2 linked regions of the Daphnia pulex genome follow. The main gene of each other region encodes a partner of the protein of the gene in region 2 in a complex. Links are inferred from orthologs where the notes say so. Each region holds a gene or a part of one and is shown on either strand. Other genes may lie near its edges. The genes, in order: unc-112-related protein-like and integrin alpha-PS2-like.

Evidence for each region.
Region 1: integrin alpha-PS2-like (region 2) and unc-112-related protein-like share a complex: the UniProt entries of both Caenorhabditis elegans proteins name them as parts of the integrin containing attachment complex. The link is inferred for Daphnia pulex from reciprocal best matches to the Caenorhabditis elegans genes pat-2 and unc-112.

Annotation. Positions count from the first base shown.
Region 1 is NC_060028.1:2,205,842-2,210,180, forward strand, and holds the start of unc-112-related protein-like, read right to left. Parts: upstream 3,080-4,339; 5' UTR 2,656-3,079; coding exon 2,514-2,655; intron 1,692-2,513; coding exon 1,171-1,691; intron 1,085-1,170; coding exon 852-1,084; intron 770-851; coding exon 380-769; intron 306-379; coding exon 74-305; intron 1-73. Other genes in the region: putative transferase CAF17 homolog, mitochondrial, read left to right, coding at 3,319-4,339. UniProt on the Caenorhabditis elegans protein: Component of an integrin containing attachment complex, which is required for muscle development and maintenance. Probable regulator of cell-extracellular matrix adhesion. Required during initial muscle assembly to form dense bodies and M-lines.
Region 2 is NC_060022.1:1,623,857-1,627,675, reverse strand, and holds part of integrin alpha-PS2-like, read right to left. Parts: intron 1,799-3,819; coding exon 1,677-1,798; intron 1,612-1,676; coding exon 1,517-1,611; intron 1,441-1,516; coding exon 1,320-1,440; intron 1,242-1,319; coding exon 1,180-1,241; intron 735-1,179; coding exon 686-734; intron 1-685. UniProt on the Caenorhabditis elegans protein: Required for muscle development probably through the regulation of the actin-myosin cytoskeleton. Component of an integrin containing attachment complex, which is required for muscle maintenance.

The sequences.
Region 1 (4,339 bases), on a different chromosome or scaffold from region 2:
CTGTTACAACAAAGCAAGAAGAATGTGTGTCCAACAGTTGTGTTTGATCAAATAAGACAAAAGTGAAACTTACGGAATCGCACCGGATCCACATCTCGGACATGCCATCCGGGCCGGGAACTTCCAACCGGATACCAAATTTGTCTTGCGACAGATTGACATCCGGAGTGACTTCGCAACCTCGTAACGGGATCTGATGGGCTGGCCCGGAACCCGACTCTCCTTTATTCTTGAAGGCAAACAATTGTAAATCCTTGCAGACGAACCAATAACGTTTAAAGCCTTTTAAGGTGAAACGTTTCGGCCTTTAAATCAAATTTAAAAAAATAAAATAAAATAAGTATTAAACGAATGTGGGGGAATAAAAAAATCGATTTACTTCATGTAACGAAGAAAATCCGACAATTCCGGTATGGAAGTGATGTCACTAGTGTTGCTGTGAACGTGGGTGCCTTCCAGAGTGTCCTGGAGGTCACTCAGGGCGGCGTCGATATCGTCGTCGCCGTCACGAGTGTCACTCAGCGGCTGAGGCTGGGCACTTTGTAAATTCACTTGGAGCTGAAGGGCTCCAAACATGAGCATCTCCTCTTCAGTGCAATCAATCTCCTCGTTGAGCAACTGCCATTTGGCCTGCTCGTAAATCTGATTGATGCGCACGGCGTCGTACTTTGGATTCAGGTCGTAAAATGAGTAGAATTTGTAGCGCAACAGGAGCGCGCTGTATTCCCGCACGCCTTGCTCCATGATGGACAAGGACGAGTCCAGCCAACTGATGAAAATAATGCGGGAAATAAATCAATATTGTCTGATTTTTTTATAAAAGTGGGTTAGGATAGATAAGAGAAACTCACGCCACATTAAGACGAGCCCGTTCGATCAAGTTTTTGGGTCGAAGAAGCCTGGATCGGGCCTCCTGGCTGGGTGTGGCCGGACTGAGCGCCAGCGACATATCCATATTGGAGAAACTGCTGTTGGCCGTCGTGTTGAGGCTGTTGTTGGCAGTCATGTCAAAGATGGATGGTGTCGCATTGTGGCCGTTGCTGCCCGGAGTCGAATACGGTGAATTCTTTCTCCACGTGCCCGACTGATGGATGAGAAAATAATGATGATTAGTATTATTATTATGAAGACAAAAAACGTGAAAAAATATACATGGCAACAACAACTCACATTAACTGGTGAGCTGATGGGCGTGGGTACGGGAGCCGGGGACCGATTGATGGTCGTGTTGGGCAGGACGGGCGTACATCCGGAGGTGGCCTTAATGTTGTCCAAACTGTTGTTGGAACTGTGAGTCGAATTGCCGTGGTGACCGATGAACGTGTTGGTGTCGGCCGAATTGTTGGCCACCGTCCGCTTCTTGTGCGACGTGTTGGACTCGCGTTCGCGATAATTGTAGCGCAAATCGTCAGACTCGAGCGGCTTGGCGAACGACAGCTCCTCCGGATGCCGGATGCCGAGCTCCTTGCACAGCGTCACGACGGCGTTGAACGTCTTGACGCTGAAATCCACCCGGCAATCCAAGTAGCGCAAATCTGGCAGCTGGACGCGCAGCGTTTTGTGCATGGGAGTGAAATGCAGCAGAGCATCCGCCTGGACGCCATACTGATCCAGCGTCGAACGGGTCCTGGACAGCCAACAGTTCCGAGCTGGCCACCAAAGAGCGTGATCCGACCAATCCGCCGCAATATCTAAAAATACGAAAAGAAGATAAGATGTAACAAAATGTGAATATAAAATAGACTGGTGGGGGGTCATAAATTTTGATTATTCCAAAACATCCATCACTGTGATCACGTGATGTTGGGCGTGAAATTACACACACATTCAGGTGGGTGGTGGTGGTGGTGTATATGGGGCGGAAATGAAATGGGTCATGGTGGCCAAAAAAAGGGCGTCGTCCTGAATAATTTCGTTTCTGAAATCAGAGACGTTTGTGGTTGGGTAAAATCATCCGGATGTTACGCCGAACCGCGATATGTGCACATAACACAAGCTGCTGACGGTGTTTCCAACAAACTAACTTTTTTTCAAAAATAAACATTCAAGTGATCCTTGACGTGATGAGAATACCGATCACCAGACTGTGCATTCCAATCGCCCGCCCTATTTCGCTTATAGCCTTTGCCAACGGCGGAATCAAAGAGAGAGGAGTGCAACCTTTCTAGGACTTGTCGGATTTTATTTGATTTTTTAATATATTTATATTCAGAGGGGTTTTTATTTTATTTTTCAAGAGAGATCCATTGTAAGAGAGAGTGACGCGAGGGGAGGCTATTTTTAAATGCCGCCTTTTTTCTTTCCTGTCTGCGCTAGACTGGGCCGACAGAGGGAGCACTAGTAGCTGCTAGTGGGCGACCAAGAACTCATTTCAGATGTGGACAAGATGGCTCCCCCCATAATGTCTTTTAAATGCAAGCAAACAGACGCCTGGGAAATTGGGGCGTGATGATGTCAGCCTCGCAGTTGAATCCCCAAATATGGGCAAACAAGGACAACAAATAATTGCATACCTAATTCCTCGACGAGACGCAGCATAACACCACCAATGTGCAGGTCACCTTTGACCCGGAGACATCGCTCGACCGACAAGTCAGTCACCAACACCTTCAATTCCCAGCTCCCGTCACCGACCAAATGTCCGTCGGCAATCATCTTGAATTTTTCTTCTCTCTCTCTCTCACAAGGCAGCAGCAGAGCACCTGTAGCTTAGAGCACCAAACAATAATTTCCAAGAGAGAGGCGATGCCCGTCCGTGACCAAACATGGGCAACACAAACGGGGCAACCCACACACACACACAACTCTTTTCTCCTTTCCAACACCAAACACACACACACACACTCAAATAGTTCGATGGCTTTTTCAGACAGAATGAACAGTTCCAAAATTGTTCAATCACTAGTTGACATCTTGACGCAGTCGAGGTGATCACTTATTCAGGGGGCGAATCAACCCTTGTGTGTGAATAGTGTTGGAATATAAACAGATGGCCGTAAGACCAAGTCGACGTTTCATCCAGACTCGGTATGAGAGAGTCGTGTAACTAACGCCTTGGTACCCTAAAATCCCACTTCCAGATCTAAACAATCGATTCAAACTTTTAATCGATCACGAAACGTAAAAAAAAGTGAATCAAAATAATATAATAGTTTGTTGAGAGCTTACATTCATACTTACTGCCTTGAATTCCATTCCATTATAATCTCAATATCGCACTGATGAAAGCAATCTCGATCTCCTGATAAACAAAAATAAAAAACCTTGGACTAGATCGACTAGATTAGGAGATTTTCTAACATTTTCAAGCACCGTCAGATGGCGCTGGAGTTCCTACATTTTAGTTGTAAACAAATCGAATCGACCACGACTTGCTCAACAATCGAGCTCAATCTCTCTCTGCAAGGTACGATAACAATTTTAACTCCCCTTCTACCAAAAGTTTCGTCCATGTGGCGGTCTATTCAAGCAGTTGCTCTGAGATCGGTGGCCGCTAGTTCGGTTCGACGCGTTCACCAGAAATGCACAGTAAACGCACAGGAACTCAAAGGAAGGGCAATCGTCAAAGTTTCTGGAGTGGATGCCGGTCCGTACCTTCAGGGTCTTATGACAAACGATATCAAACACTTGGACGAAGATAACAATCCCAACATGTACTGCATGTTCCTCAACCGGCAGGGAAGAATACTTTACGATGCCATCATCCACTCTTCAAAAGAATCTGGCAGCTACCTGATTGAATGTGATGCAGAGTGCTCGGAATCTCTAGCAAAACACCTCACCATGTTCAGAGTCAGAAGGAAGGTGGTTATCTCTGTAGAGGAAACACTGAAGCCTTGGGTTCTCTTTGATCAGCCCCCCGAAGATCTCAGTAATGAAGTCATTTTAGCCCGAGATCCCAGAGTCAAGGAACTGGGATGGCGAGTGTTGGTTGATTCCAACAAAAGTCTAAGTCACCTAATAAAGAATCTCTGCGTGGACAACACTGATCGATACACTGAACTCAGATATAAACTTGGTGTGGGAGAAGGCTCTCGAGATATGCCACCCGGCACATGTTTCCCACTCGAATGTAATTGCGACTACCTGCACGGCGTCAGCTTCCATAAAGGGTGCTACTTGGGACAGGAACTTACGGCCAGGACTTACCACACGGGTGTAACCAGAAAACGTTTGATGCCGGTTGTCTTCCAACAGCCTTCCGATTCCATCCAGTTAGAATCGACCATTTCTGATGAAAACGGACAACGGGTGGGAAAACTACGAGGATATCTTCACGGATCAGTTTACGGTCTCGGCCTCTTGCGGATACAACAAGCCCTCTCTTCTTCTCAATTGA
Region 2 (3,819 bases):
CAAGTGAGGTGATATTTATGTTTTTTTACTCTCTTTTTCTTTTTTATAAGTGCACAAAACATCCAAAAGGGGTTTAATTTGAATTAAATATTTCAAGGGAGGGTCGCAAGTCACAGCAATCTCTTCTTTTGATTCAGGAGGGGTCGGTGGGAAATTGTGGAGGAATCAAGGAGGGATGAGAGGTGGGAGGATGAACATTTCAGGTGAAGTTTGAGCGTGACACATCCGGCGTCATCAAATAGGGGTGAAAAGTAGAACACGAAATGTTTGTACAATATGTACAACAAAAGATCTAGAAAAATATTTGACTTGTACGAAAGGGGGGAAGTTGCAATTCAAACAGTCCGGAGCATTTGGCAAAGCTAAAGGGCTGTGAAATATTGGCATAATGATAATAAAACGTTGTCAATTAGAAAACATGACGAGCTCTTATTAGGGGGGTCATCATCCGTGTTTGGTATTGACACAATGCAAACAGAAACCGGACATTCGCCCTAAAATTTCTGCCTTCCGCAAAACGGTACAGGATGTATTTCAACTTAACTACTCGGATAAAAAAAAAGAGAGTCTCTCAAACTAAAGATAATACTTGCGCCTAAAATAATAACTGGGGGAAAGAATGTAAAACCTGTTGGATTTCTAATCAAAACTCGTAGGGAAAAAAAAAGTAGTCGGATGAACTTACCCTGCCAGTACCAACTGCCAACGGCGCCGATAAACACTCGAAGCCCATCCTAGGAAAAAACGAACGAACGAAAAAACACGATAAATAAATGGAAACATCTGTCATCGCCACGTAGAAAACGACGGCGGCCAAACGGAACAGACACATCAACATGTAGCGATGATATAAAGGACGACTTGAACCACCATTTCCCACCAGAAAAATTCTTTCAGATGCAAACGCACGAACAAACAAAAATACTTAAACTCTTGTATACAATAAGGGGGAATCAATCAAATTCTTTAGACTTCAATCGGCTTTTGTGTGTGTGGCTTGACAAACAAACGCCTTTTCTTGGGCGGATGGAAAATAAAAAAAGAAAGTTTCTTTTAAGAGACCAAACCCTAACCGGAGTCGGGAGGAGATGGATGAGATAAGCAATTTTTTCCTATTAATAATTTCTTTTTTCTTTTCTCTCAAAATATTTGTCGAAAAAGATATGGAAGTCGTCGTACCGGTGTGATAGTGGCTCCCAGTCCGGCTTGACACGAACCCTGACGATGGTATCCCCAATTGGCTACAGAAATGAAAAAAAGAACAAATGAATTTCATTTCAATTAAAGAGTGGCAAAGAAAAGAAAGAAAAGAAACTCACAGGTCCTGCATGGCGAATATTCGGAGAATTCCCGAAATGATTCACGGGCGACGAAGCAAGTGCCAACTGGTTCACGGCGCTTGTAATTGTTGGAGAACCAGACGTAACGGGGAGCGCAGGCCTTTATAAGAGAAAACCAAAACATTTTGAAACTGAAATAATAACCAAAAATGAACGATTGAATTTTCTAAACTGACCAGAACTGGTCCGTTTGGTCCGGCACTGCGGACGGTAGCGCCAAACCACTGGTCCGATTTCTGGTCGATTTGTTGTCCCGACGCGTTATTGTTTCCTGTTTATGTTTTTTAAAATTTCAAATTGATTATTCGTATTTACGCAATGATTTTTTTGTTTTACCTGTGACGTCGAATGGAATCGATTGGCACTGGTCGGGGATTTCTGTGCTGCAACGGAAAACGGATCCACCTCGGGTGACGCCCGGCTGTTCCGTCTGCGCTGTCGGAGCTCCAACCAACAACCTGCAAAGAGAAATGAATCAATATTTCATTACTTTAAAGGCAAATAAACAAATTGGGCGTTTCTTCTTCCGCAAGCGAATTTCAACCAGGGACGCGGGAAGTTTAAACTGTCCGTTGGGAAATGACGGAAACGACAACATTTCCAAGTGCCCGACCAAGAAAATTCGATAGTCTCTAGACAACAACGTCAGTTGCATCACCTGTGACAGACAATCAGATAGAAGAAGAGGTGCGAGAGAAACCACAGAAGTTGGCCCCCCTGGGGGGGGGGGGGGCCAACCAACCACTCGAGAATATGGAAAGAAGAAGAAAAACCACTGACACTACCCTCTTCAAAACTCATTCTGACGTAAGAGCTGTCATAACATTCTTCGAGTGCATATGGCCGGAAGCTAATCCCTCACAGCGGCTGTGTGAAGTTGCTGCTTGTGTGTGTGGGAGCTCTGCGGTCAGGGGTGGAGGTAGAATATAATACCGAAAAGTCGAATTGATGAGCTAATAACTTTGACGCCCAGTCGTTTTCTTTTAGAAATAAATTTAGACGAGAGCAAATGACGTCCGACTCGTCGTGTCCCTATTTGGACGGCGGGGTCCCATTCATTTCACATCGGCCATTTTCGTGATTACCAGCAGCAGCAGCAGCGTGCGAGCTCTTTGGTGTGTTATATTTATAGCATCGTTCAGAACTGGAGCCCCCCAATTAAGGGCTGCTGCTCTCAAACGCAATCCTTTAGTGGGCCAACTCCCTTTTTTTTCTGACTGCAGAACCTTGTTATACTGTACGTCCAGTGTCGATCACAATCGCAGACGAAACTCAACTGTCAATACACTGGGCAAGAAAAGAGCTGAGAAATGGCCAGGCATTGTTATACGCTGCCATCGTTAAAAACCAGAATTTTGAATTCTATTGTTCTTATTTCCCGTTCAGATTGTGGCATCTTGACTGCCATCTGCCGAGGATCGAATTGAGACGTGCCGGTCGCATCAACAGGCTAATCATTTGGATGAGGCCCAAAAAAAGAGAAAACAAAAGGACTTCAAACTCGTCTAATAAGAAAAAAAAGGAGAAGCGGTCCGGCTATTTATGCCGGCCAACAGTCAAAATATATGGCAATATACGATCAATAATTCGACCGCTGTGTTCGTACATTTTTTCCCCGACGAGAACTCTGTCGGAATTGCTCCGGACTAACGAGAGACACACACAAATCCATAGATGGCGGCGACGGAAGACAACCAAATTTGAATAAACGAAAAATCATTGGGGGGTCTACAAGTTTTTACAGGGGATTGCCTTTAACCGTGTACCATGTTATAACAAATCCACAGATAAGGCCTTATAGCAATAGCCCCAGACGGGTGGATTCAAATAAAATTCATATAGTTGTGTAAGCAGAGACACATAGTCGTGAGTGGGACATGAAAGAGCCGCCAGCACGACGTGTACAGTTCAATCGAGTCTCTCCTATCAGAAAGAAAGCGGCTAATGTAAACAAGTCTTCTATATAATATCTCGACGAGTCCAATATCAACGTCCCTGATGTCAACTTTTTTTGAATGATGTCTTACCAGTTTCTCTCTAAACTAATAAGAAGGAATGTCGTTTGCTTTATTTCCCCCGTATGGAGTGGAATAACGCAGTGTCAAAAACCCCCAAAAAATCCAAACTGAAACAAGGTATATACAAACAACTTTTGGGGTTGATCAAGAAGTCAATCGAGTCTCAGCAGGTGTTTCGGTATGCCAAGTTGGAGAGACTCGTGCAAGAAAAGTGACGTGAACAGGAAAGACTTGACGATGATATCTTCAAACTAACAAGGAATTCAGAGGGACGTGATCCAACGAGATGGAAGAAAAGAGTCCAAAGTGTTGATAGAAAACAAACGGGGAATTGATTGTAAATCAGTGCGGCCAATCGAATCTCCCCCCAATCAAAAAGGGTCCAGCAGCTGGAATACAACGCCCCTTTTGATGTTGTACATCAGTTTCTTCTCTCTTGACACTTTTGTAGAGGAGGGAAG